Linked DNA regions of Callithrix jacchus. The protein of the gene in region 1 interacts with the protein of each later gene in a biochemical or structural test. Links are inferred from orthologs where the notes say so. Each region holds a gene or a part of one and is shown on either strand. Other genes may lie near its edges.

Region 1 (4,661 bases):
GGTGCTTGTAGTCCTACCTACTCAGGAGGCTGAGGCATGAGAACTGCTAGAACCTGGGAGGCAGAGGTTGCAGTGAGCTGAGATCATACCACTGCACTCCATCCTGGGCAATGGAGTGAGACTCTGTCTAAAAAAAAGATGACTATGTGAGGAGAGAGAGATGTTAATTAGTTTGACTGTAGTAAGTTTTTTCACTATGTATATCAAAATATCATCTATACAGTTTTTATTAAAAATAAATCATTGCCCTTGGACAACCCTTCAATCAATCTCTCGATGAACTTCAGGGGTTACATAGGATTCTATCCAAAGGCTCTTTATGTATTTAATAAGGCTGACCAAAAATTAAAAAGCTTTTTTTAAGCTCCTAAAATCTTAGAAGTTTTCATCCTCGTGCTGTTTTTTTTCTTAAATTCAAAGGGCATTTATTATTTTTCTCTCACTCCTTTGCTTAAGTGATCTTCCCACCTCATTCTCCCAAAGTGCTGCACTTGCAAGTGTGAGCTACAGCACTCAGCCTCTGTTAGTTGAATCTATTAGGTTTTATTTTGTTCAGGCTTATTCTGAAATTCCTAGTAGTATGGATTAGTACTGTGTAGTGGTTTGGAGGTAGTACATACAAGAACCTTGGCTGAGACATCTGCAGACTGGCTACTTATGTCCTTGTTTCTAATCCATGACTAGAACCCCTCTGGGAGGAAAAAGAATCAACTATATTTAGCCAACAGTAGCAGTAGCTTTCAGTCCGATATTTCCTGTTAGTGTTCTTCCTTCCTTTCTGTCCCTTCAGTTGATGTTATTGCTTTGAATAAATGACAGCTCCTTAAAAAAATGGTCTGTGGTTACTTCTACTCTATATCACTAGCTTTGAACATTTTGTGTACCATTGTACTGAGTGGGGATGTCAGGGCCTAGTCCCTGGGAAATACATGCACTTTGTTCTAGCATGGGAAAATCAGCCCTGCCTCAAACTTGAGTATTAATAAATAGCCAATAGAAACCAAAAAACAACAATGGTAAAGTTATCTGCGCTTGTGATAAAGTAGTGCCCTTTTTAAGGATTTTGAGAACTTGACTTTATTCCTGTTTATGTAGGGCTTCCTGAAGGCTTATTTGAAATACGAACCAGCATATCTAATAGTTCTGAACGGCTGCAAGTGTTTCTATGCCCTTGGACAACCCTTCACTCTATCTCTAGATGAACTTTGGGGGTTGTGTAGGATTCTACCCAGAGGCTCTTTATGTATTTAATAAGGCTGACCAAAATTTAAAAAGCTTTTTTTAAGCTCCTAAAATCTTAGAAGTTTTCATTCTCTTGCTGTTTTTTTCTTAAATTCAAAGGGTATTTATTATTTTTCTCTCCCCCTTCCTTTTCCCGTCTTCTTACCCAGAGTGAGCACAAATGGATCAGATGACCCTGAAGATGGAGGATCTGGTGAAAATAGGAGAGCCAATGGGAATAGTTCTCCATCACTCTCAAATGGCGGTTTTAAACCTTCTAGACCTCCAAGACCTTCACGACCACCACCACCTACCCCACGTAGACCAGGTTTGTATTCCAGCTGTCAGTACTCTAATAAATAATGTTCTGGTTGGCAGTTAATCCTCAGGTAAGTTTCAGGAAATTCTTTTCGGTGAGTTTTCTGTGTGTGTTTTTGCATTTAAGATTTTGGCAAAGAATGATCTTTCTGTAGTAACCAAAAGTGCCTTTTTCCTAAGTTTCGGGTCAGAGTGACATTACTGAGGCAGTGCTCTATTGAGAATGAAAATGACATGTGCATAATATAAAATATAGGCAATACAGATAACATTGCAATAGCATTTCTTACATGGTTTGTAACTGTAACATAAACATATTAAGTAAGTAGTCAAGGATTTGGTTGCTTAATCCGAGTATATTCTTTAAAAAGTTAGTAAATGACAAATAACCCAACAGTGCTAAATGATTCAGATTTTAAATAAAAAATGACACAACAAACAAGCCTTTTTTGTTTGTTTGATTGATTTTTGAGTCAGTTTCACTCTGTCACCCAGGCTGGAATGCAGTGGCACAGTGTCAGCTTACGCAACCTCCGTCTCCTAGGTTCAAGCAATTCTCCTGCCTCAGGTTCCCGAGTAGCTGGGATTACAGGCACCCATTGCCACACCTGGCTGATTTTGTATTTTTAGTAGAAACGGGGTTTCTCCATGTTGGTCAGGCTGGTCTCAAACTTCTGACCTTAGGTGATCTGCCCACCTTGGGCTCCCAAAGTGCTGGGATTAGAGGCATGAGCCACCATGCCTAGCCCCAAAGTACTGGAATTACAGGCATAAGCCACTGAGCCCAGCCTCCTCTTCCCCTTTTATAGGTAATTTGGTTAACAGTATGTTCTGAATCTTTAAGATGTCTTAGTTATAATATTGGTGACTTCCTATAGACATTGTTTTCACAAGTATTTCTTAAAGATGTAATACATGACTAGTAACTATTTGTAAGAAGATTATTGTTTATCAGTCAGACCTTCCACATTATAACCAACATCAAAAATTGGTCTGTAATCTGCAGGGATTCATAGGAAAGCAGTTTTAAGGAGCTGGAAAATTAATAAATGAACTTAAAATACCAAGGAATATTAATGCTTTTCTATACATTTTTATCTCCTCAGATAATATTCACATGCCTTGTAATTAATAATGGGATGTAGGGGTAGACAGGGCCGAAGAAGTAAACAAGCCTATTAAGAGGGAGTATTGATTATTTCTTATTATTTCTTTAAGTAATTTTCACCTGTGTATCCAAATCTTAAGTTTTATATTTATCATCTGCCTTTTTATTTTTTACAGTTAAAATTCTATCCTGAATTTTAGAAAATAAAAGGTTCTTTTCCTATTTTCTTCAAATCTTTTATAGCATCTGTCAATGGTTCACCATCTACCACTTCTGAAAGTGATGGGTCTAGTACAGGTTCTCTGCCAATGACAAATACAAATACAAATACAAATACATCTGAAGGAGCAACATCTGGATTAATAATTCCCCTTACTATATCTGGAGGCTCAGGCCCTAGGCCATTAAATCCTGTAACTCAAGCTCCCTTGCCACCCGGGTGAGTAACTTTAAACATACATTGTCTTTAGGCTTTTGGCTACTTCATATACTTACTAACAAGGAAAATAATAGTAAACTCCATTGTTTCAGTAACTGAGATGGAGTCTTGCTCTGTTTCCCAGGCTGGAGTGCAGCAGTGAGACCTTGGCTCACCGCAACCCCCGACCCCTGGGTTCAAGCAGTTCCCCTGCCTCAGCCTCTCTAATAGCTGGGATTATAGGCGTGGGCTATCATGCCTGGCTAATGTTTGTATTTTTAGTTGAGATGGGGTTTTACCATGTTGACCAGGCTGGTCTCAAACTCCTGACCTCAAGTGATCCTCCTACCGTAACCTCCAAAATTGCTGAGATTACAGGCATGACCCACTGCACCCAACCAACTGTTTTTATGTTATAACTGATTTGGGGGAATCTGGAGTCAAAATGAACAAGGAAAATACACCATATTTGAAACCCTGTCTTTTGTTTTCGGGGCAAAGTGGAAAAATATATTTTTTCACCAAAGGACCCTGAATGTTAACCAAGGCCAATTAATAAAATAATCACCTAATTCTAGTTGCTTTTTCTTTGAAGGGGAAAATCCCTTTTTAAAATCAAATTTTGTTTTCATCATAAAATCATTATAGGCTGGGCATGGTGGCTTATGCCTGTAATCTCAGCACTTCGGGAGGCTGAGGCAGGTGGATCACCTGAGGTCAGGAGTTTGAGACCAGCCTGGCCAACATGGTGAAACCCCATCTTTACTCAAAGTACTCTAATTAGCTGGGCATGGTGGTGGGCACCTGTAGTCCCAGCTACTCAGGAGAATTACTTGAACCTGGGAGGTGGAGGTTGCAGTGAGCTGAGATCACGCAATTGCACTTTAGCCTTTGTAACAGAGTAAATCATTATCGCAAAATGATAGATAATTCAGAAAACTGAGAAAATTTCTGCTCATAATCAATCCCATTTTAATCTCTACTGATTATTTTAAGATTATTTTTAAGATATTCAAGTGTAGTTTTTTGTTTTTTATTTTGCTTTTTTTGTTTGTTTGTTTGAAATGGAGTCTTGCTCTGTCGCCCAATCTGGAGCACAATGGTGGGATCTTGGCTCACTCCAACCTCCACCTCTCAGGTTCAAGTGATTCTCCTGCCTCACCATCCAGATTTGCTGGGATTACAGGCACCTGCCACCTATACCTGGCTAATTTTTCTTTTTTTTTTGAGATGGATTCTTGCCCTATTGTCCAGGCTAGAGTGCAATGGTGCAATCTTGGCTCACTGCAACCTCTGCCTCCCAGGTTACAGTGATTCTCCTGCCTCAGCCTCCTAAGTAGCTGGGACTACAGGTGCTTGCCACCATATCCAGCTAATTTTTGTATCTTTGATAGAGATGGGGTTTCACCATGTTTGCCAGGCTTGTCTTGAACTCCTGACAAGTGATGTGCCTGCCTTGGTCTCCCAAAGTGCTGGGATTACAAGCATGAGCCATTGCGCCTGGCCGTTCCTTTCCAGTCAAATCCTGACTGTACTCTGATTGAGAGTGATTTTGGTTTACTATGTAGACCGACCTTAAGCCTCTTTAGAAACATG
Region 2 (5,337 bases), on another chromosome or scaffold:
CATTTAAAGGTTGTTTTTCTGGATTGAAGACAACATCCGAGGGACAGAGTAAGGAGCCTCTAAATAGACTTCAGAGCTTGGAATGTTGCTGGATTTGTTCACTCTCCCAGCATGTTAATATGTGAGACTAATACTTGGAAATAGTGACAGATATGGAGGAGTTTGGATACTGAGAGAGAACTCAAAGTGAAGATGGTAAACATCTAGAGTTTTTGTTGATTATAATTTTCTCATATATGCAGAAACCTCAGTGTGTTCGAAAACACAACCCTCTTTTAAAATACATAGTTAACTAAACTTCAAAATTAGAAGCTAAGACAATAATCATATTAATACAACCTCTACACTGCCAACTTGGAAAAACAATGAAGAAGAAATGTGAACTGCAACAAGCTTCAGAGATGGAAGATTTTTTTTTTTCCTCTGAAGGGCATATGGGTAGAAGCAATTGTAGATGGCTGGGTGTGAAAGAAACAGACCTTGTAAGCCTGCTATGTAGCTATACTGTGCTAGATGCGATTGGGATGTAATAAGACTTAAAAGACAAATACTCTTGTCTTCACAGAGCTTATAATCTAGTTGTGCAAGACTGGTTAAGAAAGCTGGCTTAATGGAGCTGCATTCCACCTTCACCCCTTAGTGTCATTGGGTGAGATATTTAACTTCTTCGCTCTGTGTCATTGGGTGAGATATTTAACTTCTTTGGGCGTAACTTCCTCATCTGTGAAACACTGATAATTATATCTCCTATATGGCAGCAACGCCAGCCTCTTTTCTGTTCTTCCCCAAGGCAATCTCTCTTTGGACCCACCTTTGCACCTGTTTCTGTGGCCCGGAAAGCTTTTAGCATGGCCAAACCCTTCAAGTGTTGACTTCCATGTCACCTGCTCAGGGAACTTTTCAGAAAATACGGTTTCTGTATCCTCAGATAAGACTGTTAAAATACTAACGGACCGTATAAACATGAGGGTGCTATTATAATCATCCACCCTAAGTAAGATTTGAGATCCAAGGAGTTCTCAAGGATTTAGGGTTAGCAAACTTTTCATGTAAAATGTCAGATAGCAAGTATTCTAGGGTTTGCAGGCTATATTAAACAAATGGGTTCTGCTGTGTTCCAATAAAACTTTACTTATGGACACTGAAACTTGAATTTCATATACTTTTCACAGTCACGGCGACAGACCAGATTTGGCCCCCCTCCCTGTTGCTGGCTGACCCCTGGTTTATAAGTAAGGCAGATAAAAGAAGGGAGTGACTAAGAACCACGATTCTGCGGCCAGACACCAGGGATCAGGTCGCTGCTGTGAGGATTGTCAACCTCTCTGGTTCCAACACCCAGAGAATGGGGCTGTGGTCCCTGCGTCAGGAAGGTCGTGTTGAAAGCTGGATAAGGGCACGTAGGTGAAGCTCAGTGCTTGGCACGAGCTGTCATCAGCAGCGTCGCCCTCTCTTTGGACTGGCCTGTTAGTAGTTAGTTTTTAGTGGACTCGAATACAACACTTGAGCCTCGGAGGCTCACGTTGTTGGAGCAACTACACCCGAGTCGGGGCACCGCAGGGCAGCGGCGCAGGGCTAGGCCCGGCCGGGCTGGGCGGTGCGAGTCGGGGGCGGGGCGGCGGCTCAGCGACGCCGTCGTTGTCCCCGCCTCCTCCCCAGGGGCAGCGTCGGAGCCTCGGAGGCGGCGGCGCTTACAGCCTGAGGAGAGCGTCTTGCTCCGGAGCGGCGGCGGCCATCGAGACCCACCCAAAGGCGCGACCCCATCCCGGCCTCAGCGGCCGCGCCCCTTCAGTTAGCTCGCTCGCTCGCTCTCCTTCCCTGCTGCCCGCTGCGCCATGGCGTTGGCGTTGGCGGCGCTAGCGGCGGTCGAGCCGGCCTGTGGCAGCAGGTACCAGCAGGTAAGCGGCGCCCGACTCCCGCCCCCCGTCCCGGACTCCGGTCCCCGGCTCTGCCCTTTCCGCTGGCCGCCTCAGGCCTGTCTGGCCCGCCCGCGGCCAACTCGACACCGGGGCTTGGCAGGCCGCGCTGGGCCGGGACGGGCGAGTTGGGCCCCGGGCTCGGATTCGCGGCCCCGGCGGGCCCGGCCTGCCCCACCGCGACCCCGGGTGGGACTCCGGTGGTGGAAAGCCTTCCTCTCGGCCTAGTTTCCCGCATTTCCCAGGGCGGGCGGGTCCTTGAGTCAGAACCTGCGACCCAAAGGCGGCATCGATCTGAGGCATTCGTTTTTCATGTTTCCACCTTTGGTTTGATGTCATTGGAAAAAAAGAAAGAAAGAAAAAAAGCATAAAACGGAAACTGGGTGGAGAGAAAAGATTAAAATCTCTGCTGCTGCTGATAGCTCCCCACAGCGAGATGCTATTGCTCAGGGTTTCGGAGCCTAGTTTGTCGAAACCCATCCCCCTCGCCTCCGTTTTAAGACAAAAGTCAAAAAATGAAGCGAGAGACAAGCCCGCAGTTTGCAGTAGATTTGTAAGAGGCGACGTTTGGCTTTGGTGATGCCCCAAAAGGGAGAGCTACAGTCAAGTCTGTAGCAGGGCGTGTGCCGGGTGTATTTTAAATGCTTGGAAATGACGTTTTAAGATATTTGATGGCATAGCTGGGGAGGAAATGTATAGGGAATAATTGGATCATTTTCTCCGGTCTGATTTATAAATTGAGGCCCCAGGGAAAAAGAGCTGCTTGTTTCACTCTCCTTCTGTAGCTTAGTTCCCCCAGGAAATTTAGAGACCTTCTGCATGGCTTTTAGAAGTCTTATTAATGTAACAAACATTATAATTGTGGGAATTGAGCCAGGTGGTAAACTGATGTTGATTGGAACCGCAAATAACGGCTTGTGTTTGTCATGTTTCAAATGCTTTCGGCGCATACAGATGTCAATCCTGCTTTTATGAAATAAAATGCTCTATTTTAGACTATCTACTATTTTATATTTTAGAAATAAGGAAAGCCAGTAAGATTAAAACGTAGATTAACCCTGGTGCAGCCGGGTTTGTTTTGCTATCATCAGCCATGTGTTGCAATCCGCCCCCGCTCAGGCTTGGACTTCCAAATGACTAGTTCAGAATTTAGCTTCTTGGTTTCATAAACACATCCCAAATTGTGACAATGCAGTTAATCCTTAGGTCTCTTCAGAGCACATGGATCTAGCACATGCTTTTTTTGTATGACCTTGGGCAGCCTGTGGGTTCCTTACTGCTTTAACAAAATGGGAATAACAGATGTCACTTAACTGTCACCACAGTGTTTACAAACCACCCGTGTTTGCAAATCACCCCTACTGTATACTGAGATCTGATTTCATCCTTTTCATCCTGACTTGGATAAGGCTAACAAGCAAAAGAGCTGTGGTTTTTCTTTGTACTGCCATCTTCTTGAGCTATTAGGTAATGCTGATATACAGCTAGAATACAGAAAATTTGCGGGAGTATCAAAATCATGTATTCCTTAGTGTGGCATTTAATGTTTTTAAATTATGCAGAATTGAAGTGTCAAAAAAATGAAAAAAATTTTCTGAGAAAAATTATAAAAGGTGAAAGCCAAAAAAACTGCAAAACCCTCCCTAAACAAAAACCAAATAGATAACCAAAGGTAATATTTTAATGTACATTCTTGTGGGTTTATCGCTATGTAAATATACATAGTTCTAGATCAGTATACATGTGTAAAGATAAGGATTGAAGGAAAGCTAATACTGATTTTTTTATGCAACAGTCACAGTACTAATTAATTTACATCCATTTTTTCATTTAATCCATACAAAACCCTTATGAACTAGGGTTTGTTCTCATTGTCAAAGACTCAAAGTGGTTCAGTAACTTGCTCGAGGTCACAAGCTGCTAAGTACTGATTACAAGGATATACACACACTCACCTACTTAAAACACAGGCTCACAGTCCAAATATAGGTGTATGCATTAGCAGTTATATACACATGGGTGTATATTCTCTTATGTACCCATAATGCATATACAGACATATCTTTGTACATGCGTGTGTAGTTTCATAAGCCCCTGATCATACTGGCACGTACTTTTGCACATGTCCCTGTGTATCTTATTCTCAGGCGTGTGCATTCGTACATTTGCATACGTGTGTATTGTGTACATGTATATACAAAAGCACACTAGATAAATAAATGGGTTCATATTTCTATTTTATAATGTGCTTTACACAATGTTAATGTCTTCTATATAAAATATTTTTAATGTCTACATGGCATGTAATTGTATGGCTTAATTTAAGTAACCTATCTTTGGTCACTAAGAATGTTTATAGTTTTTTTCATTCACGGAAATTTATTTTACATACGTCTTCAACCGTTTTCTTAGTATAAATTACTAGACACAGAAATGCCTGGTCCGAGAATATACATATTTAAAAGGCTATTGAATTATAGAATGATGGTGAATTGTCCAGGCAACTTGATTGGAGCATGATACTCTTTGGTTGTCACACAGGGTTGTTCTGACTTCTATTTGATCTAGTTAATCAAATTGAGCTAGTTTTCTCACTAAGTAAATGTAATGGAAAACTGTATGATTCATTCATAAATGCAAACACAGTTTTGTCTTTACGGTCTTTTTATTGGTAGTGCAATATGTGGACAACTTGAATTTAGCATAGTAACAAACTATGCAGAAAGGCTAGGCTCAGCTAGGTGAAGTGGCTCACACCTATAATCCCAGCATTTTGGGAGGCCAAGGCAGGCGGATCACCTGAGGTCAGGAATTTGAGACCAGCCTGGCCAACATAGCAGAACCCCATCTCTGCTAAAAATACAAAAATTAGCTGGACATGGTAGCAGTTGCCTGTAATCCCAGCTACTCAGGAGGCTGAGGCAGGAGAATTGCTTGAACTCAGGAGGCAGAGGTTGCAGTGAGCTGAGATTGTGCCACTGCACTCTAGGCTAGGTGACGGAGGGGGACTCCGTCTCAAAAAAAAAAAAAAATTAGTGGGACCTGGTGGCACCCACTTGTAATCCCAGCTACTTGGGAGGCTGAGGCAGGAAAATCACTTGAACCCAGGAGGCAGAGGTTGCAGTGAGCCAAGATTGCACTGCTGTACTCCAGCTTGGGTAACGCTGTGTCCAAGAAAAAAAAATGGCTAGGCTCATAGGTTCCCTGTGGCATTATTTTTTTCCTTTTTGCATTTTGAAACTAAGACTGTCTCAGACAGTGGAAGCACTATTTTAGAAAGACCTGGGTAGACCCAACAGTGCTGAGAAACCTGTGGCATGTTTTTCTCTCTCTGAGGACGTTTACTCCTGTTCATTCATTCCAAACCCTCTTTGCCTCACTGCAGTAGATCTGTGCATGAATTTTGCCAATTCATTCCAAG
Region 3 (5,394 bases), on another chromosome or scaffold:
TGCATTCATTTTCATCCTCAAGAAAAGTGTATGCACCCTTCCACCTGCTTTACATATTATGGGTAAGACAGCTGGAGTGCTTGTAAAAATGGATGGACTTGTAGCTCTTAGCTCTGCCATTGTGCTACTGACTGGAGCCCCTGGTTACTATCACCAGATCTATGGGTGGACCAGCTATTCTTCTGCAGCAGGGAGTGGACCGACTCAAAGCACTTAGCACCATATAAACTTTTGTCCATCTCTGTTTTACATGCACACAAAGAGTTTCCTGGAAACATGGCTACACTCCAAGGATTTCAGAGGGTAGAATTCTTCTAGAACTACCGTGTTCCAATCACTTGGAACCTCATGAGAAAGCAGACTTAAAGTCAGATTCTAGAATCTAATATGTTCCTAAAGCTCTGGCTCTGCCATTTACAACTGTGTGAAACATTGATTTATCACCCTAAAGCTTCATTTTCTTCATCTATAAAATGAGATATGGATTAGAGATCTTTTCTTGCATAACAAATTATCCCAAAACTTAGTAGCTTTAAACAACATTTATCATCTCACAGTTTCTGTGAGTCAACCCTCTGACTTTGGGTCTCTTATAAAACCACAGTCCTCTCAAGCTCAATTGGGACAGATCTGCTTCCTGCCTCATTCACCTGGTTATTGTTGGCAGGACTCACTTCCTAAGGCCTTAGTTTCCCAGGAGCTGCTGGCCAGAAGCCTCCCTCAGTGCCCTGCCTCATGGGCCTCTTCGCAGAGCATCTCACATTGTAGCAGCTTACTTCAACAGTGCAAGCAAGCTAGAGCAAGAGAGAAGACCCACCAAAGAGAGTACTAGCAAGACAGAAGGCCCAGTCTTTTGTAATCCAATCACAGATGTGACATCCCATCACTTTTGACACATCCTGAGTTAGAAGTAAGTCATTAGGTCCAGCCCACACTCAGTAAGTCATTAGGATTACACAAGGATGTAATCCTTAGAGCCTGCACAGTTGGCAGCTACTTGGGAGGCTGAGGTAGGAGGCTCACTTGAGGCCAGGGGTTCGAGGCCAGCTTGGGCAACATAGTGAGCCTCCTCCATCTCCTTTTTTTTTTTTTCCTGAGACGGAGTTTTGCTGTTGTTACCCAGACTGGAGTGCAATGGCACGATCTTGGCTCACCGCAACCTCCGCCTCCTGGGTTCAAGCAATTCTCCTGCCTCAGCCTCCCAAGTAGCTGGGACTACAGGTGCACACCACCATGCCCAGCTAATTTTTTGTATTTTTAGTAGAGACGGGATTTCACCTTGTTGACCAGGATGGTCTCGATCTCTTGATCTCGTGATCAACCCCCCGAGGTCAAGAGTTCAAGACCAGTCTGGTCAACAGGGTAAAACCCTGTCTCTACTAAAAAGAAAATACAAAAATTATCTGGGTATGATGGCACATGCCTGTCATCCCAGCTACTGAGAAGGCTGAGGCAGGAGAGTTGCTTGAACCCAGGAGGCGGAGGTTGCAGTGAGCCAAGATCGCACCATTGCACTCCATCCTGGGCGAAGAAGCAAGACTCTGTCTTAACAACAACAACAAAAGAAATATATGTGTGTATATTTTTAAATATACAAAAATCAAATTAGAGAATATGTTTGATTCAGGGCCCGTATATGTTATGCCATATAAAACTGTTATAGATAATAACTATTATTACCATTAATATTATTATTGAGTATATAATGGCTGGTTTTCTCCCCTAGCTCCTAGAAGGAACGCTTCTATGAGGAGTAAATGAAATAATATACATAATTCAGGACCTGACATGAAGTAAATGCTCAATAATCATTAGTTATTATTAACATTATTAATAAATGTGTGATATTTGATATTCTTTCCAAGCTACTGGAAGAAAATACTATGAACTCTCGTAACTTTTCCAGGATGACCTTATATATTTTGTTCAACTTTTCTCATTAGCATCCTATAATTGCCAGAGCACAACTCTAAATTTGAGTTTCATAAAATATGACCACCAAAGCCATGACACAGTCTAATTTCCTGTCTGCCCTATACCAAGAAGTACCCTTGTCCAAAACCAGTAAAACGGGCTAATTATGGCAGCACCTCCTATATGCAGAAAACTCAGAGCCTGGCCCCATCCAGAATCCAGAGAGGAGGGATTGTGCCTGGGAGAATGAGCAGAGACTTGGCTATGTAACCTTTGTCCCTTTCAAAATATGCTCGTCATTGTGCAATCTTCTGAGTCAATCCTCCACTAAGAATGAGAGAAAGAGGGACCAATAAGGCCCTACAGATGGGCCTTAAAACGTCCAAAAAGACGTTTTCACACCTGGGTTGAAAGTAATATGAACCAATAAAAATAAAGAGCAATTTTGCAATTAGAAAGTTGGAAGAAGAGAGTCCAGTTTGCAACATGAAAGAAAGAGCACTAAGAGGCTGGAGTCATCACTTCAGGGCTGGGTTGAAGCTGTCTTCCTTATAAAGGTGGAGGATTTTGAGGGTTGGCCTGTGGCCAGGGAAAATGAGGAACTATAATCAAGAAAACCCCATTATTTTGGCTTTGAGTCATTTCTCAGGGCTCACCCATAATTATTACATAAGAAAGATAGAAAAAACAAAAACCAGGCCGGGCGTGGTGGCTCAAGCCTGTAATCCCAGCACTTTGGGAGGCCGAGGCGAGTGGATCACGAGATCAAGAGATCGAGACCATCCTGGTCAACATGGTGAAATCCCGTCTCTACTAAAAATAAAAAAATTTGCTGCACATGGTGGTGCGTGCCTGTAATCCCAGCTACTCAGGAGGCTGAGGCAGGAGAATTGCCTGAACCTAGGAAGCGGAGGTTGCATTGAGCCGAGATCACACCATTGCACTCCAGCCTGGGTAAAAAGAGCAAAACTCCGTCTCAAAAAAAAAAAAGAAAAGAAAAAGAAAAAAAAAACCTACTAAAGTGTAAATGATCCTTAAACCAAAGACACTGTAGAAATACAAAGATCCAGACCAGACACAATGGCTCATGCCTATAATTCCAGCACTTTGGGAGGCCGAGGCAGGCAGATCACCTGAGGTTAGAGTTCGAGACCAGGCTGACCAACATGGAGAAACCCTGTCTCTACTAAAAATACAAAATTAGCTGGGCATGGTGGCACATGCCTGTAATCCCAGCTACTTGGGGTGGGGGTGGGGGGGGCGGGAGTGCTGAGGCAGGAGAATCGCTTGAACCTGGGAGGCAGAGGTTGCAGTGAGCCAAGATCACACCATTGCACTCCAGCCTAGACAACAAGAGCAAAACTCTATCTCAAAAAAAAAAAAGAAGAAGAAGAAAAAGAAAGAGATACAACGATCCAAGTCTTTGCAACTTATCTGTCTTTCTCTGTCTCTGTTTCTTCTTCTCCCTCCCATATTTGCACATGTTCTTTCGTTTCTTTTTCCATGCAGAAGAAAACTATCCTTACAAGGAAATGCCTGAAGATCCTTTAGGCTGGAACTGTTTTCAGATCAGGAATCATCTCTAGCAGTCTCCACTGCCTGCCTCTCTTGGACTCCTGTGGACAGGATTAGAGTTCAACATTCACAGATAATAACAGTTTACACCTCTGCCTCTAAATCAAGTCACTACCGCTGTGATTTAAAGAGGCCGCCGACTGATTTTCTGAGCTGCACTAGCCCTGGCCCTGTCTTCTCCTGAAATGTCCCAAACATTACCGGATTTGTACACAGAAAGCCTCAAAGCAGAAGTTGCTGGGAAAATTCTGTAAACATGAAGAGGAGAAGTGCACCAATATCAAGTTCCTCTTCCTGTGGCTCTGGTTTTCTCTCCTTCCTATTCTGTGTTTCCTCTGTGTCTGGGACAGAGGATACTTGGTTTCCATACCTCTTAATAGTCAGAGAAAACCTTGTTCTGCCCCTTGGCAGGTTAGTTTTTGAAGGGAAAGACAGGGTAAAGAGATGAGGACTTGCCCCCAGGAAGTCTGCCTGTACAATAGGAATGATGTATTTATTTATTCAGCCCTTTCCTCCACTGCAGCCAGAGCAGCAGCCATTTCATTTCGCCCTCAGGAAGTGTATTTAGTGGTAACCTTTCTTTCTTTTCCTGTTAGTTTCCTGCAAAAGGACATCAGTGTCCTCCTCATTGGAGCAGCTGATAAGGATGTTGTTGCTCAAATAGAGACAGAAAAACTTATTTCCTGTCGCAGACCTAGGCCATCCCAAGGTCATGGAGAATTAGACCAGGCTGCAGAAATAACGGAAGAACCTGATTTTCATGCCTATTTCCCTGGTGCGGTCTTCCTCCCTGAAATACTCTGCAATAATTACACCTTCCACTTAAGTAGGATTTTACACTTTTCCAAAGTAGCATCACGTTGTACAGAAGCAGCGTTGCTGCATTGTAGTTGGCATAGCCTATTAGTTACTTTGGAGGGTTTATATGAAGAGCAACTTTGGGTTTAACTTTACGTCTTGGGGAATTCATACAAATGGCATAGGTTACCCTAAGGTGGATTCCATTTGCTAGCTCCTGCCCATCCTACAGATCTTATCTTCAAAGTTACTATTGCGGGGGAGGCTTCCTGGTACCCCTCTCCCAGCCACATTGGGTTGGGTGGCCTTCTTATACACACTGCACTTCCACTTTGGAATACACATATCCCATGGGTAAACCTGCTCAGTGCATATCCATCCAGCAACATGTTGGCACTGTAATACCAGGGACAACAACCTTCCTGCTCAGGGCCTGGCCCACAGTAGTTCACTAAATATTTAGTGAATGAATGAGTAAGTCAGGAATTGTCTCTAGGAGCAGCCTTGCCACCTGACACAATCATTTATTTTGGGGTGGTGCTCTAGAAGTTATAAAAAAGACATGCTAATTATCACATAATGATCACCGGTGGTTACAGTAATTAGAGCACAGTGGTGAAGTATGACTAAATAAAGCTCTCCACCAGGTGGGGGGCTATCCCTGCACTCTGAATTTGGAATCCCACTGCCCATCTCTCTTGGACTCCTGTGGACAGGGTCATTCCTTTGGAAAATTCTATTTGGAGTTGCCAACATCGGGGAACAGGGAGAATTAAGCTCCATTTCCCCAAACTCAGTGAAATCTTTCTGATATGAAAATTAAATTAAAGAACAAGGTCATTGGTGGCCCTCTGCTTCTTTCCTTTCAGCCTCTGAGACATTTCCCCATCAAGGGTCTATGCTGAGTCATCCCTCCTTCAGCAAAAACAAGTCAGCAACACCCTGAGGATGGGTGATGGAGGTAAAGACTCATCCTGCTAATCTTCTCCTCCCACGGAGGCCAAGGTTCGTGGTCTTCGCCCCCTCCCTGGGAACAAGAAAGCAACCCAAAAGAAAAGCCTCTTCCTTCCCACTCCTCTCTCTCTTACAAGCTCATGGTCTGTGGTT
Region 4 (4,860 bases), on another chromosome or scaffold:
GGGCGGCGGTCGGGGCTGGTCCGGACTAGCCGTACCGGGGCCCAGGCGCGCCCTGGGACCTGGCAGATACCCGGGCTCCCCACTTCTGGCTCGGGGCCCCAGGACAGCATTGGTCCCACCTCTTCCTGTGCCCTAATATGGGCGGCGGGAGAGACTCCGGGGGCCACCCGGCCCTGAGTCCTGCCGGCGGACTCCCGCCTGTTGCCATGGCGACCAGGCCCAGCTCTTGGGCTGCGTTTCCCGCTGTCGGTCCAATGGAACAGTCCCCAAGCTGTCTGCCTCGGCGATCCCCAGCAGGCGCCGCGGGAGGAACCATTGCCTGGGGGGAGAGGATGGTAGCTGGAGGCTTCTGCTGCTGGGCCGGCTCCAAGCACCAGGGCCTCCGCGTGGGCTCGCACGCCCAGGTTCCTCTTCCGAGGCGCAGGATGCGGCGGGACCCAGGGCGGGGCGCAAGGTCCCGTAGGATCCGAGTGACGGAGACAGGGCCGGGCTCCTTCCCCCGGGGCTGTTGCCACACTTCCTGCCTCGGCGCTCTTTCCCCAGCCTGTTTCTAAGGAAGGGAGTGTGGGGTTGGGCGACCGCGCCCCAGCCGTCGGGCTGGGTCCAGGCGCCGACAGGGTGTCGGGCAAAGCCCAGGGTCAATAGGGGAAGAGTTTTAGGATGGGGGACAGGGAATGCAGATGCCTAAGGGGTCACCCACGAGGGGGAGCACCAGTCATGGAAGATCAGCAGTCCGGGTGCGTGGACCCCAAAGCCCCCTCCTCACGTCAACTGAGTACCCTCTTACTGTCTTCTCTGCTCCGAAGATGGATCCGGATCCTTCTATCTCTCCTTCATCCAGGCTTCGCGGATAACTCCAGTGGTCCCCAATCTCTGCTAGACGTCTACATCTTCTACCCCGCACATTTTACCTGCCTCAGTGTACAGCAGGACCCTTATTCGCTTTCTGCATATCTAGATTTCTCCTAATTCCTCTTTCCCACGTATGGGGAGCTCTCAGATCCTCCCATGGGCTTCGGGACCCCTACTCATTTCTTGCAATTTAATGGGTCATGCAGCCCACCACTGTCCCCTTTTGATCTCTCCTCTCCTCCATCCTGTGAAAATTCCAGTACTCCATCCCTCTGTGCTTGGGGCCCCCAGTCAATTCCTGTGTCAGGTCTCTCCTTACCCCTCCCGATTTACCGTTAGTAACCCTCATTTCTGCTTTTTGGGGTCTCCCAATGAATTGTCAGTCCTTCCACCCCTCTCGTACTCTGGGTACCTCAGGGTTTCTTCGAACACCCTGGGATCTCCACCCCATTTGCTCCGTACCAGGTCCTGGTATTTGTCCCAGTGGGCTGGAGGGAAATCATCCTCCTCCCTGAGCGCCCTCACTCATGTGTCCAGGCCCCTCAGCACCTCCTTCCACGCGGACCCCGGGGTCCTTTGAGCCCCTCCCCCTGCAGCCCCGCCGAGCCACCCGGCCCGTGGCCGCTGTTTACAAGGACACGCGCTTCCTGACAGTGACGCGAGCCGCCTCCTCCCCTTCCCCACGCTCGAGGAGGGGGGCGCGGGGGCCCGGCTCCGGCGACGGCCAATCAGAGCGCACTTCCGTGGCTGACTAGCTTCTGTATAAAGGCGTGTGGCTCAGGCTGAGCGGCTGGGACCTGGAGAGCGGCCGGACCAGCTTCGGAGCCAGCAGGGAGCCGGGAGCTGGGAGCTGGGGGAAACCACTCCAGGAAAGCTAGCGCGCCGAAGAGGGTGAGGGGGACTCGAGAAGCCTGACAGCTTTTGCGTACAGCTTCCGGCTGGCTGCTCCCCGCCCGCGCCAGCCCCGGAGAACGCGCGACCAGGTACCCAGTCCGGCCACCGCAGCGGAGAGCGCGGCGCTCGCTGCAGCGAGGCCCGGGGCGGCCCCGCAGGGACCTTCCCCCGACCGCCTGGGCCGCCCGGATGTGCACTAAAATGGAACAGCCCTTCTACCACGACGACTCATACACTCCTGCGGGATACGGCCGGGCCCCCGGTGGCCTCTCTATACACGACTACAAACTCCTGAAACCCGGCCTGGCGCTCAACCTGGCCGACCCCTACCGGAGTCTCAAAGCGCCTGGGGCTCGGGGATCCGGCCCAGAGGGCGGCGGTGGCGGCAGCTACTTTTCTGGTCAGGGCTCGGACACCGGCGCGTCTCTCAAGCTCGCCTCTTCGGAGCTGGAACGCCTGATCGTCCCCAACAGCAACGGCGTGATCACGACGACGCCTACACCCCCAGGACAGTACTTTTACCCTCGCGGGGGTGGCAGCGGTGGGGGTGCGGGGGGCGCAGGGGGAGGCGTCACCGAGGAGCAGGAGGGCTTCGCCGACGGCTTTGTCAAAGCCCTGGACGACCTGCACAAGATGAACCACGTGACACCCCCCAACGTGTCCCTGGGCGCTAGCGGGGGGCCCCCGGCTGGGCCCGGGGGCGTCTACGCCGGCCCGGAGCCACCTCCCGTTTACACCAACCTCAGCAGCTACTCCCCAGCCTCTGCGTCCTCAGGAGGCGCCGGGGCTGCTGTCGGGACTGGGAGCTCGTACCCGACGGCCACCATCAGCTACCTCCCACACGCGCCGCCCTTTGCCGGTGGCCACCCGGCGCAGCTGGGCTTGGGCCGCGGCGCCTCCACTTTCAAGGAGGAACCGCAGACCGTGCCGGAGGCGCGCAGCCGGGACGCCACGCCGCCGGTGTCCCCCATCAACATGGAAGACCAAGAGCGCATCAAAGTGGAGCGCAAGCGGCTGCGGAACCGGCTGGCGGCCACCAAGTGCCGGAAGCGGAAGCTGGAGCGCATCGCGCGCCTGGAGGACAAGGTGAAGACGCTCAAGGCCGAGAACGCGGGGCTGTCGAGTACCGCCGGCCTCCTCCGGGAGCAGGTGGCCCAGCTCAAACAAAAGGTCATGACCCACGTCAGCAACGGCTGTCAGCTGCTGCTTGGGGTCAAGGGACACGCCTTCTGAGCGCCCCTGCCCCCTTACGGACACCCCCTCGCTGGACGGCTGGGCGCAAGCCTCCCACTGGGGTCTAGGGGGCAGGCGGTGGGCACCTACCCTGGGACCTGGGAGCGCCGCTAACCACACTGGACTCCGGCCCTCCCGCCCTGTGCCCAGTCCTTCCACCTCGACGTTTACAAGCCCCCCCGGTTCCACTTTTTTTTGTATGTTTTTTCTGCTGGAAACAGACTCGATTCATATTGAATATAATATATTTGTGTATTTAACAGGGAGGGGAGAAGGGGGCGATCGCGGCGGAGCTGGCCCCGCCGTCCGGTACTCAAGCCCACGGGGACATTGGGAAGGGGACCCCCGCCCCCTGTCCTCCCCTCTCTGCACCGTACTGTGGAAAAGAAACACGCACTTAGTCTCTAAAGAGTTTATTTTAAGACGTGTTTGTGTTTGTGTGTGTGTTTGTTCTTTTTATTGAATCTATTTAAGTAAAAAAAAAAATTGGTTCTTTATTAATTTCTGTTGTCTTTTTTTCCAAGCTGGGAGGGCCGAGGGAAAAAAAAAGCAATGGTTTGCCCCAGCTCAGTGCTGTAAGTGGCTCGGTCCTGTGTGTGTTCCCCTCTTCAGCTCTGCGCAGGCATCTTGTGGCCCGCCCGGGAGTCCCACCCTATACGCGCCTCCTGATCTCCAGGGTTGGATGGTCGGGGCGCGGGGCGCGGGGCGCGGGACGCGATTTCGGAGCCCAGTAGCAAAAGGCAGGGAGCTCTGCGCGAGACGCGGAGTGCGCAGGCGCGGCCCCGCCCAGCCGCGCGCGCCGGGGCTTTCCCCGCTGACGCAGCGGAAGCGCTGCCCATATAAGGACCGATTCTGCCCAGTGACGCGACCGCGGTCTCTGGGCAGATTCCGGGAATCCCCTCCCCCGCTCTGCCGGGCAGGGCCGCGGCGCCGGGAAGGGGGCCGGGATTTTCCCGGGCAGGCGGCTGCCCGGGCACGGAAAGCCCCAGGCCTGGGTCCAGAGCGGCCGCGGTGGGCGGGCAGCGCTCCTGGGCTGCGGGAGCCACCCCTGTGCCACTCAAGACACTGGCGCCTGGGCCCCGCCGCGCCCACGCCCCCTCCGTCTGACCTGACCGGGGCGGAGGGTTGTTGCTGCCTAGGCTGCTTTGCCGACGTCGTCCCTTCTACCCCCACCCCCGCCAGGAAGGGCGGCGCCGGCCTGCCAGTTTCCCCTCCCGGGTGCCAGGCCAGGAGCGGGGCGACTGCCAGGTCTGGTCCTGCCGGGGCGGCTGCTCGGGCCGCTGGGCGCCGCCACCGCCCTTGCGCTGGGCTCCCTCCTGCGCAGCTGGGACACTTGGGGGTGGGGGTGGGGGTGCGGGTGCCGGTGCTGCTGGCATGCCTGGAGGGAGTCTGGCCGGCTTCGGAGCTGGAAGCCCCCAGAGCAGTGGAGAAAAACAGGTAGAGAACCAGACAGGCAGTAGGGTGTGTGGAACAGGCACTTCATCAATTCATTTATACAATGCCTAGAACAACTACACCCTGGAGACACAGCCTAGACCACTCCAGACAAGACAATAAACAAGGAAACATGATTCTTCGGAGGTGGTGGTAAGTGCTAGGAAGAGAGAGAGAGAGAAAAAAAAAAAAACCAGGTCAAGGTGGCAGTGGTGGAGCAGGGAGGCAAGTTGCTTTGCAAAATGGAGTAGGAACATGGATCTTTAATGTGGCCACTTTTCTTTTTTGTATTTTAGAGACGGGTCTCGCCCTGTCGCCCAGGCTGCGGTGCGGTGGTGCAATCATAGCTAACTGCAGCCTAGACCTTCTGTGCTAAAACGATACTCCCACTTCAACCTCCCAACTAGCTAGAACTACAGGTGCACACCATTAGGCCTGGCTAATTTT
Region 5 (5,437 bases), on another chromosome or scaffold:
ATACATTTTGCCCAGGAACTGCTAATGAATGTACAGTGCAGTTGTGGTTCAAGAAGTTTTGCAAAGGAGACAAGAGCCTTGAAGATGAGGAGTGTAGTGACCGGCCATTGGAAGTTGACAACTACCAATTGAGAGCAATTGTCAAAGCTTAGCCTTTTTTAACTATGAGCAGTTGTGTAACAATTCAAGGATGATCATTCTACAGTTGTTCAGCATTTGAAGCAAATTGGGAAGGTGAAAAAGTTCACTTAGTGAGTGCTTCGCAAGCTAAGCAAAAATTTTAAAAATAGTCTTTTTGAAGTGTTGTCTTCTCTTACTCTACACAACAACAACAAACCATTTCTCAAGTGATTTGCAATGTGCAATGAAAAGTAGATTTTATATGACAACTGGTTGGACCAAAAAGAAGCTCCAAAGCACTTCCCACAGCCAAACTTGCACCACAAAAAGGTCACGGTCACTGTTTGGTGGTCTGCTGCCAGTCTGATCCACTACAGCTTTCTGAATCCTGGTGACACCATTACATCTAAGAAGTATGCTCATCAAATCAATGCGTTGCACTGAAAAGTGCAACCTGCAGCCAGCATTGGTCAACAGAAAAAGCTCAGTTCTCCATGACAACACCCAACCGCAGGTCACACAACCAACGCTGCAAAAGTTGAACGAATTGGGCTACAAATTTTGCCTCATCCACCATATTCACCTGACCTCTTATCAACCAACTATGACTTCTTCAAGCATCTCAACAACTTTTTGCAGGGAAAACACTTCCACAACCAGATGCAGAAAATGAATACAAAGTTTCATGAATTTGTATGCTACAGGAGTAAGCAAACTTATTTCTCGTTGGCAAAAAAGTCTTGATTTTTAATAGTTTCTATTTTGATTAATAAAGATGTGCTTGAACCTAGTTATAATAATTTAAAAATTCAACATCTGAAACTGCAATTACTTTTGCATCAACCTAATAGATGTCTAAGTAGGTCATATTTCACCTGCAAAGAGAAAATTTCGTCTATCCCTTGCAGATGCATGGAAACCCACTATCTCCAGTGGACAGTTAACTCCAAGGGCATCATAGAGAACTCATGGAGCTCAGCTGAGGAGGTTTCAGGGATTCTCTATTTCCCTGAGAGTCTGGAACAAGATGATCTCCAGATCTGCACCTAAAGACTCTTCAACCTTTTGAGATGGAGATGAGGGAGGGAATAGGGAACCCAGTTAAGTCTGGATTTCAGATCCTTTTGTATTTCATAAGTGTGATGATTGGGGTTTCATATTTATGTGTGAGATGTGCCTCCCTCACACCTTGTTACAATGACATTGGCGCATTACCCATCTGACATGAGAAAAACAAATGTAGATTTCAGATAAACAAAACATAACTTTTTTAGTGTATGTCCTATAGAATATGTGGATATAAAATATTCTGTGGAATATAGTTGTATTAAAAACCTGTTCATGGTTTAATCTGAAGTTCAAATTTAACTGGGCATTCCATATTTTATGTGATGTGGCGATCTTATGGAGGACGGACCAACACTGAAAATAAATGACTTCACTTGGTTAGGGCATGGGGACTGGGGAAAACAGAGGCCACAGTCAGCTGTGACTTTTTTATGGAAGGAAGTTGGTTTCTTTCATGCCAATTAAGCAATTACAGACGACCCTGTCAGAAATCTAAACCCGTGACTATCATGAGACTCAAGACCAGAAAAAAAAAATAAGTAAAAAAGAGTAAGAGCCAGAGAAGCAGTCTTCACACACGGCCAGCTGGCGGACGGAGGACTCTCTCATTAAGGAAGGTAAGAGCGTTGCCTTCTCACCATAATCATAGTCCTCTTCTCCCGGAATAGGATTTGGGAAATTCTGGCAAAGTCCTCTGCTTATCCTCATTGCCCTGCTGATGTGTGACGTCAACGGAATTTCTCCTCAATGTTTGTCAGTCTCCATCTTCAGAGGGTTCACAAAGTCTCCTCCTGGGTCCTCTCTCAGTCCTCCAAGACTGCCAAGAAGAAAAGCAATTATTCAGGATGGCACTTGCTGGGGAGAAGCCACCTCCCTAAGGTAGATGTGTTCTCCTGTCACTTAAAGAACCACTTCTCCTGATCTGAGTGGTAAGAGGCGCATTTGCTGTTGCTGCACCATCTGCCAAGGTCTGAGCTTGAGGTATAGGATGTATGAAAACAATTGAATGCAGAATTGAATGTCCATTCTGTCATTTTGAACACAGAGTTCACTCCTATATTATTCACTTCAGAGGATTGGTGAGTTTGACTTTAATTTTGTTTTTACAACTGGGAAGGGTAAATTACATGTAAAACGTCCCAGTGGAAAGTGGTCATGTGGTGAAATCCCCACTCTTCTCTCCCACCTCTCCCTGTTGTTTTAAACTGGAGCTCATTAATATAATTCTATGGGGACCAGATCTTCAAAATTCATGAGAACAGTAAAAGAGCTGACAAATACACAACAAGGAGAGAAGCTTCCATTATTAGTTTTTAATGAACATACTTGACTTACAGCCACTGCAGTTTATGGACATCTTTTGTTATTATTCATTTGTATTTGTTATAGTTAAAAAAAAAGTCCTAGCCAAGGGACTTGAACCAGAGAGAAGCAGAAATTGATTTAGGTGGCAGGGGAAACACACTGTCAGATAAAGTCAGGTCCTGGGCTTCCTTAGCTTGTTTTGTGTGGAGTGCCTAGGACGAGCTGAAGCCCTTGTGTGGGGTGGTTTCCTTTGCTGAAAAACTGGGCTGGAAGATGCTGTGCTCAGTGCTCAACCTCATGCACCCTTGCGAGGCACAGGCAGTGGGCGCTCTGGGAAGCATACGTTGTGTATCATAGCCTCTGCCCAGGGATTGAAGTCTAATAACAACTTTGGAGAAAAATAACTCCTCTTAACTTCTTAGCCACAGCCCTGGACCAGGGAAGGTAGAGAATCAGTAAAAATGCTTTTTGTTTGGTTCTCTAGAAGTTTATGGTGCAGAGTCAAATCAATGGCAATGAGGAGCAGTTTTTCACCAAATAATAACTCAACTTGAAAGCCTTTTTGCTTTTGTCTGTAGTTTCTTCTTCGAGCTTAATTTTTAGTTAGTAGGAGGGGTTAGAAAGCTGAGCTGTTGCTAAAGCCCTTGATATCAATGAAAGAAGCAGGTGCAAATCCCGTCACAGGTCAAAGAATCCTGGCTATGGATATTGGTCACCTAGTTAGGATGCTGTTGTGGGTCTTTATGAGATGATGAATAGGGTGGCTTCGGATGCCTTAATGATGCCCACGTGCTCCTTCTGTTAGGTGTCCTGTGCCCTGACCCTACAAGATGCCAAGAGAAGACACTCCCTTCGTCTCTGATTATCCCAGGAAGAGGCATGGCCACTCTTACATCACAGCTGAAGAGTAAGTTCAAAACCAGACCCAGCAGGGCTTCCAGTCTGCCGTTTGCTGACACAGCCTGCTGACTTCCACTAGCACATGCCTGCTCATGAATCTCCCTAGTGTTGACAGCCCCAGACAGAAACATCCCTGGCAACAAGGGGAAGAGACTCTGTGCTTCTACAAGGGGCTAAATCAAGCTTCTCTAAGGCCAAACAGACAGGAAGATGGGAATGGTATAAGGTTAGATCTTGCTATTTGGGCTGCACTTTTGACTCTTGGGCCTTATCTATAGGTTCCCAAAAGGAAAAACATCCGTTCAGGATCACAATGCCTCTTTCCTCAATCCTTGTTCTGTCAACGCCACTCAAGCTCCTGAAGGTTGTTTGCAGACAGAATAAAAGTGAGTTGCCAAGGAGCCAGTGAGGATGATGGGCAAGTGTGTGTGACTCAGCCTGAAGCCAGACTCGAGAGGAAGGCAGAGGTCACAGCCTTTGCAGCATAACTTTATCCTAAGGAAAGGCGTTGGGTATTATGAGTGAATTAAAAATAAGTATTTATATGATTAAGCATTTCTAAATGATAAGCATTGTATACTGGTCTGAGACACTGTTTTTATCTTTGAAGAAACTCAAAACCTAGCGGGAGAGTTAGGCATGAGAATAATTTCAGCAAATGTAAGTGCAGTAATGGGAACCCAGAAGCTGCAGGGATACATGCTGTACATGCTGGGAGGGAAAGGGTGTGGGGGGAGGGGGAGCAGCAGAGGCCCCACCCTCTGCGTGGGACTCCAACAGGACACAATCTTCTTATGTGTTCTGTGCAGAACTCCCTGCAAACCTGCTCATTCTTTGGAAAGAGCTGTTGAACAATCCTTGTTAATAGCCGCAGAGGCCAGCAAGATGTAGGGCCCGACAAAGGCACTGAAGAAGAACTCAGGCAGAGAGCATTTCTTCCGAAGATCTCGGTATAGGACCCTCTAATATCCCTGGCTAATTGGAGATGAAGCCGGCGGTATCTTCTAAGAAAATGTCCCGAGAGCAAAAATATACTCTTTAAGGGAGGGGAGCCCATTGCCCGTGGTATTAATTAGGGTATTGTTTCAGCTTCTGTATGATCACTCAACAAATTCTTCTTTAGAATATACTTTTATGTCTTGTGTAATAATTCAAGAGTAAAGAGTTCAAGGCCTGTTCATTTTCTTCTTGCTGGTTATTCCCCCGGGGTGTCGCTTTTGTCCCTATGGCTGAAGATGTTGTGCCATCACCTCCACATCTTGCCAAGGAAAGGGGAGGTGAAGGAGAAGCTAGGACCATTCCTTTCAAGGGACACACGTCACCTCTGCTTACTGACCCACCCTCTGCCCCCTGCCCCATGGCACTCACCCTGGTGGGTATCATTCTTGATGTTTTGTAAATGGGGAAAGATTTGGAGAAATTAGAAATGTGTGGCTATGGTGGCGCTGGGATTTAAATCCGGGTCTGTTTGCCTCCAGAGTCCATGCTCTTAAGTATTATGCTGCAGGCTGGCGGAGGCAAATATTTGCACAATTCCATCTGACGAGAGGCTAGGGCAGAGGTCAGTATCTCTTGGTGTGAACCTGGAGGCTGCAGCTTGTCAGCTCGGTAGGCTGAAAGCAGAGTTGTTCTTTGCCATGCAGGGCCATCACACCCAGCTGGGCCCAGGTATACCCACAACCCGAACAAGGTAACTTTCAGGGTCTAGCCAGGAAGAAACCAAACTTGCAAGCTGAACCACGTGCATAAGCAAGGGCAGGTGGATTATCTGACATTTTCCTTGAGAACACGAGGGAGCCTCTGGGCATAAAAGAAGAATACCCTCTCAACTTGTATGTGGGGAGCTGTCCTTCTATAAGGGGAAAGTAATTCCTTTTGACATTTTGCTGTCTGTAGAAAGGTCAAGATGACCAAAGCGTCCAGCACAGTGAAACACTTAACTTCAGTCTGTGAGTGAAGGAAGCATTGAATACATGGAACATCATGATCTTGTGCAGGTACTGAAGGAGATTGGTCCAGAAAATAAGTAGCTACACATGGCTAC

Evidence for each region. The genes of interacting proteins can lie anywhere in the genome.
Region 2: the proteins of ITCH (region 1) and NDFIP1 form a complex in vitro, tested with the Homo sapiens proteins (2 studies listed by BioGRID). The link is inferred for Callithrix jacchus from reciprocal best matches to the Homo sapiens genes ITCH and NDFIP1.
Region 3: the proteins of ITCH (region 1) and NUMB form a complex in vitro, tested with the Homo sapiens proteins (3 studies listed by BioGRID). The link is inferred for Callithrix jacchus from reciprocal best matches to the Homo sapiens genes ITCH and NUMB.
Region 4: the proteins of ITCH (region 1) and JUNB form a complex in vitro, tested with the Homo sapiens proteins (2 studies listed by BioGRID, with this or other methods). The link is inferred for Callithrix jacchus from reciprocal best matches to the Homo sapiens genes ITCH and JUNB.
Region 5: the proteins of ITCH (region 1) and MLANA form a complex in vitro, tested with the Homo sapiens proteins (2 studies listed by BioGRID and IntAct, with this or other methods). The link is inferred for Callithrix jacchus from reciprocal best matches to the Homo sapiens genes ITCH and MLANA.

What each region holds. Positions count from the first base shown.
Region 1 is NC_133506.1:4,854,329-4,858,989, reverse strand, and holds part of ITCH (E3 ubiquitin-protein ligase Itchy homolog), read left to right. Parts: intron 1-1,391; coding exon 1,392-1,549; intron 1,550-2,890; coding exon 2,891-3,086; intron 3,087-4,661. UniProt on the Homo sapiens protein: Acts as an Acts as an E3 ubiquitin-protein ligase which accepts ubiquitin from an E2 ubiquitin-conjugating enzyme in the form of a thioester and then directly transfers the ubiquitin to targeted substrates.
Region 2 is NC_133503.1:40,544,940-40,550,276, forward strand, and holds the start of NDFIP1 (NEDD4 family-interacting protein 1), read left to right. Parts: upstream 1-1,657; 5' UTR 1,658-1,835; coding exon 1,836-1,898; intron 1,899-5,337. UniProt on the Homo sapiens protein: Activates HECT domain-containing E3 ubiquitin-protein ligases, including NEDD4 and ITCH, and consequently modulates the stability of their targets. As a result, controls many cellular processes.
Region 3 is NC_133509.1:108,452,844-108,458,237, forward strand, and holds the start of NUMB (protein numb homolog), read right to left. Parts: upstream 3,681-5,394; 5' UTR 3,441-3,680; intron 1-3,440. UniProt on the Homo sapiens protein: Regulates clathrin-mediated receptor endocytosis. Plays a role in the process of neurogenesis.
Region 4 is NC_133523.1:11,614,510-11,619,369, forward strand, and holds JUNB (transcription factor JunB), read left to right. Parts: upstream 1-1,644; 5' UTR 1,645-1,935; coding exon 1,936-2,979; 3' UTR 2,980-3,480; downstream 3,481-4,860. UniProt on the Homo sapiens protein: Transcription factor involved in regulating gene activity following the primary growth factor response. Binds to the DNA sequence 5'-TGA[GC]TCA-3'.
Region 5 is NC_133502.1:112,376,297-112,381,733, forward strand, and holds the start of MLANA (melanoma antigen recognized by T-cells 1), read left to right. Parts: upstream 1-1,757; 5' UTR 1,758-1,805; exon of another isoform or gene 1,806-2,267; intron 2,268-3,298; 5' UTR 3,299-3,323; coding exon 3,324-3,400; intron 3,401-5,437. UniProt on the Homo sapiens protein: Involved in melanosome biogenesis by ensuring the stability of GPR143. Plays a vital role in the expression, stability, trafficking, and processing of melanocyte protein PMEL, which is critical to the formation of stage II melanosomes.